2 linked regions of the Coturnix japonica genome follow. The protein of the gene in region 1 interacts with the protein of each later gene in a pairwise test. Links are inferred from orthologs where the notes say so. Each region holds a gene or a part of one and is shown on either strand. Other genes may lie near its edges. The genes, in order: KIFBP and DOK2.

The links.
Region 2: the proteins of KIFBP (region 1) and DOK2 interact in a two-hybrid assay, tested with the Homo sapiens proteins (2 studies listed by BioGRID and IntAct). The two-hybrid records come from large-scale screens. The link is inferred for Coturnix japonica from reciprocal best matches to the Homo sapiens genes KIFBP and DOK2.

What each region holds. Positions count from the first base shown.
Region 1 is NC_029521.1:8,810,170-8,813,904, forward strand, and holds part of KIFBP (KIF-binding protein), read left to right. Parts: intron 1-1,222; coding exon 1,223-1,305; intron 1,306-1,407; coding exon 1,408-1,591; intron 1,592-2,220; coding exon 2,221-2,305; intron 2,306-3,735. UniProt on the Homo sapiens protein: Activator of KIF1B plus-end-directed microtubule motor activity. Required for organization of axonal microtubules, and axonal outgrowth and maintenance during peripheral and central nervous system development.
Region 2 is NC_029537.1:2,729,269-2,732,512, forward strand, and holds the end of DOK2 (docking protein 2), read left to right. Parts: intron 1-51; exon of another isoform or gene 52-64; coding exon 65-164; intron 165-376; coding exon 377-555; intron 556-1,237; coding exon 1,238-1,963; 3' UTR 1,964-2,476; downstream 2,477-3,244. UniProt on the Homo sapiens protein: DOK proteins are enzymatically inert adaptor or scaffolding proteins. They provide a docking platform for the assembly of multimolecular signaling complexes. DOK2 may modulate the cellular proliferation induced by IL-4, as well as IL-2 and IL-3.

The sequences.
Region 1 (3,735 bases):
TGTATCGACAAAGGCTCCCTTGTGCTATTGTTACAGTCTTTGCAAAGCCTTTCTAACACCAGCTTGCTTTGGGGACAGGGCAGTTGTTGAGGGAGCTGAAAATATTAGTGACCTTAAAGGAGCAGCATTCTGTGTTTCAGGTTAAACAAGGTAGTTTCATGAAATTATGGTTTTATGGGAATACAGCTTACAGCACAGGTTACTCTCCTGGAAATTTCAGCACAGGTTATTCCTTATTGGTTACTCCCTGCCATTGCGCTGCCTTTGTAGCTGTGCTAGTCTATGGTTAAAGAATAGGTAGTGGATATAAGGAATTAAGACATGTTCATGGAAAAGATCTTCTGTTTTCTGCCTTCTGGATCAGTTGGTCTAACTAGAGATGCCACATCTCTCCACAGATCCTCAGCGTAATTAATTCCTGATGTTCATCTTTGATATTTATACCCAGCTAAGCACGATATTGATAGCTTTCTTTTGTTAATGTGTACAACTGTATCTTTCTGTTCTTGTGTGAAGAAAATAGACAGTCTTGTACATATCACAAGATATATCAATGTAAGGATTCTGACAGAACATCTGGTTTAAATAACAAAAAAACACTTGATCTACCTGACCCTCGTGCAAGTTGAATTAAGATTTAACAGCTTCATCCTCTGAAGATGTTGCCTGCTGTTTCACCAGCTTGTGAATAAAGGGAGTTGAAGTCGCATCAAGGCAGCACAAACAGTCTTTATAGCTGAGCACTCCTGACATCATGTTGCGTGCACTACTTCTTGCAGAGTGTTTTCACGTTACAGATTAGTGTTGCCAGGCAAGTGAACATTTCATGCTTGCAGATGTGCTTAGCAGTAAATTGATGCTTTGAAAAGCATCATGTAGAGCCATTTTGGTGCTGTATAATCTAAAGACTCCCAATTATAGTCCTGTGGAATACAAGAGTGAGTATTTCTGAGGCAGGTAGCATGTGTTATTTTAAACTACACAAACAAGTTTTTACAAGCCAAACCCTTGTATTTCCATGTGAAATCATGGGCTGCTTTTCCTAAATTTCTTGAGGTATATAGAATTGCATCAGAAGTGTGACAGTCAGATAGAAGTAGATGCATTATGTGAAGTTCTGTTCAGTTTAGGAAAGGAAAGTGGGTAAATAGTCTGCAGCCAGAAGAGGGAGTCACAAAGTAAGAGAGATGCACCTTCTTGAACATACTCTGTACTCATGCAGGATGGAAATCCTCCCTTGGATCCCAGTGAACATTTCATGGCAGAAGGAGAAGAAAAGCTCACAGACCAAGAAAGATCAAAAAGGTGGGTGAGTAACAGCAACCTAGATTTTTATTTTTATTTAGGGGGGTGTTTTTTTTTAGGGTCTAAAGAATTAAAAGAAGTCTGAAGAGCTTGTTTTTCCAGATTTGAAAAAGCCTATACACATACACTGTATTATCTGGCCCAAGTCTACCAGCACCTGGAGATGACTGAGAAGGCTGCTCAGTATTGTCATACTACTCTTAAGCGACAGCTTGAGTACTGCGGCTACTACCCGGTAGAATGGGCGCTCAACGCTGCTACCTTGTCACAGTACTATCTTTCCAAGGTAATTTACCTCATGCTTTTCTGCTTTAATTGTGTAAGAAGTGGTTTGCTTCCACACATCTTTATTGGCTCTAAATAATCCACTGAGCCAGGAAGTGCTCCAGGTCTTTTTTAGGGGTTATGTCCCAAACTACTCAGATACCTTCCTATACTTAAGTCTTCTACCATACCTCAGCCTGTTAATGCTGATTTCAACAGCAATTCATGATTTCTGTGTTTCTTGCTGCGTTGACAACCGTAATCATTAAACAAGGCAAATATGAGTAAAGAGATCTAAATCTGACTTGTAATGTTGACTTGTTTGTCCAGCTGATTCTGTTTAACACCCTGTGATACTATGACAAGGCAAAAGGAAGTGATGGTAACATAGATCAGAGCAGTGTGAGAACGTTCACAATTGTTCTTGTGGCTGTGGTAGCACAAAAATACTTAGCTAAAATACTGTATTCAGTCGTAGGTGTGGAAAAAACATATTTTATTCCATTGCCCTGGGGAGCAAGCTGCTGAGCCTCTCAGTTCTATATTTGCCTTGTGCCCCTGTCTCTTACAGCATGAGGTGAGGGGGTTTAGCGGAGAGCAGTCTTTCTGTTCCTTCCATTGGTGACAAACTGTTGTTTCCATCTGTCTCAGCAATGCTTTATGGAGTCCCGACACTGCTTAGCAGCAGCCAGCGTCATCTTCAGCCAGGCTGGACAGGTGCCATCTTCTGAAGACAGTAAGTTCATGTAGAAGTGTTCAATGATAAAGAAGGTGAATTGTGCACTGTTAGTACCTGTATTAAAATGAAGTCTCTTTGTATGTACTAAACTTATCCAAGTGATAATTTTCAGCAGTCTTCTTCTGCTTACAATAAACTGGTTTGTATTTATATGTAAAATACAGCTTACCTTGACTTCTGAATTGTCAGAAGACAGTAATTCAATGATTCAAAACAAATGCTTCCTAAAAATGGTTTTTAAAGGTGGAAAGAAAAAAATGACTATAGCTTTAAGGATCTGTAGTTATGTGATAGCATCAGCATTCAAATCCTCTGCTGTAGGCTTATGCTTTCCTTATCTACAGCATAGCTCTTTACATTCCATGTCTTGGGCAAATGGAAGTTTAAAAGGGACAGAGCTTAACTCACAGAGAGTAAGCAAGCACGCAGGGCAGCCCTAGTCTGAGTTCTTAACTCTGGCTTATAACAGTGTGTATTGTTCAGCTTCTAATGATTTGAGCTGTTCAGGATACAAGCACTTTAATCCAATGATGTTATTACACATGAAATTGAATTTTGAATAGGTTCAGCCAAGTTTTATTTAACCCACTGTCACTGAACTTCAGTTAGTTTCATTGCTTTCAGAATTTCCCTTAGCTCAAAAACACAGAAAACTCTGCAGTTGCCTTTGAGGGTGGTGTCCAAAAGACTTTTAGTTTCAGGGAACAGGGCTGTCAGAACTGAGCTATGCTTATTTGTAGGCTGTTTTCAGACAACGTATTTTATGAAACATTCAGAAGATCTGAGTGAGGGTTTGCAGACTTCTGTAGCTACGTGCCTGCACAGTTGTTTGATTTAATATGGTTCACAAGCCAAAAATGGAGGTTATGTGTTGGGTAATGAGCAGAGCACGGGAGCACACTTACAGTTATGCTGTAGAATTCAGGCGTGAGACTGAAAGTGACAAAGCGTCCTGGTTATACTTCATAAATTTCTTGTGTGACTTCTGGGCAAGTCAACCAACGTTTATCTCAGCTTCCTCCTCCACTAAACAGTGATATTTGTGTCTGTGTGGTGGAGTGAATGTTCCTCTGATATTCACTTTTCCCAGAACAGAGAAGCGGGGCTGTGAAGCTGAAGGTCACTGTGCAGGGAGCACTAGCTCACAGACGGGCTAATACACAGTCAACATTGGCCACTCTGATGCACTTTCCTTCTGTCTTGTTAATCAGTATGTAAACATGTGCACAAATGCTTAGTGAAGGTGCCTTTTTTAAATTAGCAATAATTACTTCCTTATAAGAACAGCCTGGTTCTCTCTGATGGATAATAACAAACATAACTGATCTGAGTATGACTTTTCATTTGGTGACAAGGAGTGCTCGCATCCCCTCATTGTTCAGCAAACTCAGTGCCCCCTGTTCAGAGAATGGGAAGTTTGAAACCCA
Region 2 (3,244 bases), on another chromosome or scaffold:
GCTGGGTCCCTTTGGGGTATAGATGGGTGGGAGCCGTGGCTCAGCCCTTACCCTTTCCTTGCAGAGGAGCCAGGAGGAGCAGGCAGTGGGGAAGGACAGACAGCTGAGCTCCGACGGCGACTTCTCCGTGGCTGAAAACTCCCTGTACAGCTCCAGGGGCAAAGGCGAGTGTCTGTGTGTGGGGAGGGGGCCGTGTGTGGGGGTGAGCAGCATCCTGCAGGCAGCACAACATCCAGAAATGGCCTTTGGGTGCTTTTCCTGCTCTGTGGTTTGGCTGGGCTGGGTTTCACTGCAGGTTTTGCCTTTATCAGCCAGACACCGCTTCCCTTATGGGGCTCCCTATAAAACCTCCCTTTCCTCCTCATTCCACCCCCAGGAGTGGAGCAAGACTTTGAGGTGACGTTGAGGGCCACCGAGTCCTCGGAGCGCTGCCGCCTGCGGGGCCGCTTTGTGTTGAGGGCAGGAGAGGAAGCCTTGGAGCTGCGGGGTGTGCAGAGCAGGGATGTCCTTTACAGCTGGCCCTACCGCTTCCTCAGGCGCTTCGGGAGGGACAAGGTAAAGGGGGCGCTCAAAGGGTGGGATTATGGTGGGCGGGGGGTGGTGGGAATCATAGCATCATAAAGTCATTGGGGTTGGAGAAGACCTCCAGGGTTGTCAAGTCTGTCATCCCATCCCCACTGTGCTCATAGAGTTGTTGAGGTTGGAAAAGACCTCTATGGTCATCAAGTCAACTGTTGGTATCCCCGTAGTATCTATAGGGTCACTAAGGTTGGAAATGACCACTAAGGTCACCAAGTCAACTGTTGACCCATCCCCATGGTGCCTATAGAGTCACTAAGGTTGGAAATGACCGCTATGGTCATCAAGTCAACTGCTGACCCATCCCCACAGTCCCCATAGAGTCATCAAGGTTGGAAAAGCCCTTTAGGATCATCATATCCAACTGTTGATCCACAGAATGACTGAGGTCGGAAAAGACCACCGAGATCTCAGAGTTCAACCAACCCATCCCCAACCCATCCCCAACCCCAACCCATCCCCAACCCATCCCCAACCCCCAAACCATCCCCAACCATCCCAACCCCAATCCAACCCCATCCCATCCCCAACCCCATCCCCAACCCCATCCCATCCCCAACCCCATCCCCAACCCCATCCCCATGGTGCCCACTCACCACATCCCCCAATCTCCACCTCTCCCTTCTCCTTGAGGGACATTGCTGTTCCCCTCCTCCAGGTGACCTTCTCCTTCGAGGCCGGCCGGCGTTGTGCCTCAGGTGAAGGGAACTTTGAGTTCGAGACCAGACAAGGCAACGAGATCTTCCAGGTGATCGAATCAGCCATCGCCATGCAGCGGGAACGGGGCGGCAATGGGGACGAAGGCACAAGGCCACACCAACAAACCCAGCTCCCCGAGCGGGTTCAGGAGGAACACCACGCTAAGAGCATCTACAGCCAACCCTGCAGCCCCCTGACCCACAGCACCACATTGGCCGGGCCCAAAGCCCCAGAGAAGGGCACGAGGGGGGATGCTGTGGGTGAAATGGAGTACGCCGTCCCCTTTGATACCATCGCCAAGTCGCTGATGGTCGGTAAATTCGGGAGCATCCTCCATGGTCCTGCTGATGCTCCAGACCCATTGTATGACAGCATCCAAGAGGCAGGTGGGCATCCTCCGTTGCCTCGTCCCCGCGTTAAACCGGAGCACATCTATGATGAGCCTGAGGGTGTGAGCATCCACACTGTCTACGATGAGCCCCAGGAGGTGAAGGGCGAAGCGTGGAGGCTGCAGGCAGCCCCTGAGGAGCCTTTGGGGCACCAATATCCCTATAACCCACAGCGGGACGACTACGCCGTGCCCAAGAGAAACGTCCCATCAATGCAACAGGGCAAGGAGTGGCTCGGGGACACCGAGTACGACAACGTGGTGTTCCAATTAGCCAAGAAGAGGAACAAGCAATGAGAGACCATGGCCAGCTGTGCACATCTGGACAGCTGCGGCCGCTGGAGGGCACTGCACACCCACACTATGGGGTCGGCACTGCCAGGCTCAGGAACAGGGCACGGTGCAACCCAGAACTTGGCAAAGCATCGTCCCAAAGGGACCCATAGCAAAAAGGTGGAGGACCCAGGGGTGCACATCCCTCAATGTAAGAGCTGGGTGGTGGTGAACATCCCCAACCCATCTCCATCCCATGCACAATGCACAGCGTAAGGACCAAGGCATGCAAGCCGTAGTGGCAGCAACGCACAGCTCTGAGGTTGCACATTGCACGCTACAAGGGCCAGCTTGCAAGCAGTGCAGGGATGCACATTGCACCCCATACAGGTCGCTCTGTTGCTCCCTGCCATGTCCCTGCAATGAGGATCGTTCCCCATCACCCCTACAGCTCTTCCACCCAAAGCAAAGCAAAAGCCATGAATTATTTATGCTCGCTCTCACTCAATCAAATAAATGGTGAGGTGCTTGAGTTAATTTCCTGAAGCCTGAAAATCCAAAGTGCAGACTTTTAATAAGGCAAATTAAGTGCTTTCTATATTACACTGATTAAAGCTGTGTATCAATCCATCTATCACATGTTGAATGGAAGGGGCTGAGAACAGGGATGCTCCGGTATAGAAAACCCTATAAGCTTAAAAAGAAATAAGGAAACGATTTTCAACGTGTGACCAAATTAATTAGAGCTCATTATGGCTGTTATTTATTATTAATGGCTGTTAACACAGTCCTCTCCCAATCCCATTGCGTTGCCTGCGGCCTCTTGGTTAAGAGGAGGAGTGGTAACACCTTTGGACTCCGATATCCTATGAGTGTGATGGGATTTGGGCTGGGTTAATGAGGGAGCTGCTCATCACTTTGCATAGGGGTTGGTTGGATTCCCACCTCTCTGGTTTACTCCTTCCTTATTTTGGGTGGAAAATGAGATGTGAGCTGGGATGGAAAGCCCAGAAAAGGGGGATGTAAAGGCTGGAAATGCCCAGAAAAAGGCTGGAAAAGCCCTTTGCAATGCTCAGCATGGGAGTGTGTGGAGCATGAGATGAGGAAACACAAATCGATGGCAGAGAGAGGAGGGAAGAGATTAGAGCACAAAGCCTCAGACAAATGGAGAGCGGTGTAATCTGATTAGGGAGCCGTTGTCGTGATTGTGTTATGCTGATTATAAATCATTAAGGAGCACAGCTAATCACAACAGAGATTTGGGGGGAGATTTAAGGGTTGCTGCCTCCAGCGATGTCCCACCCC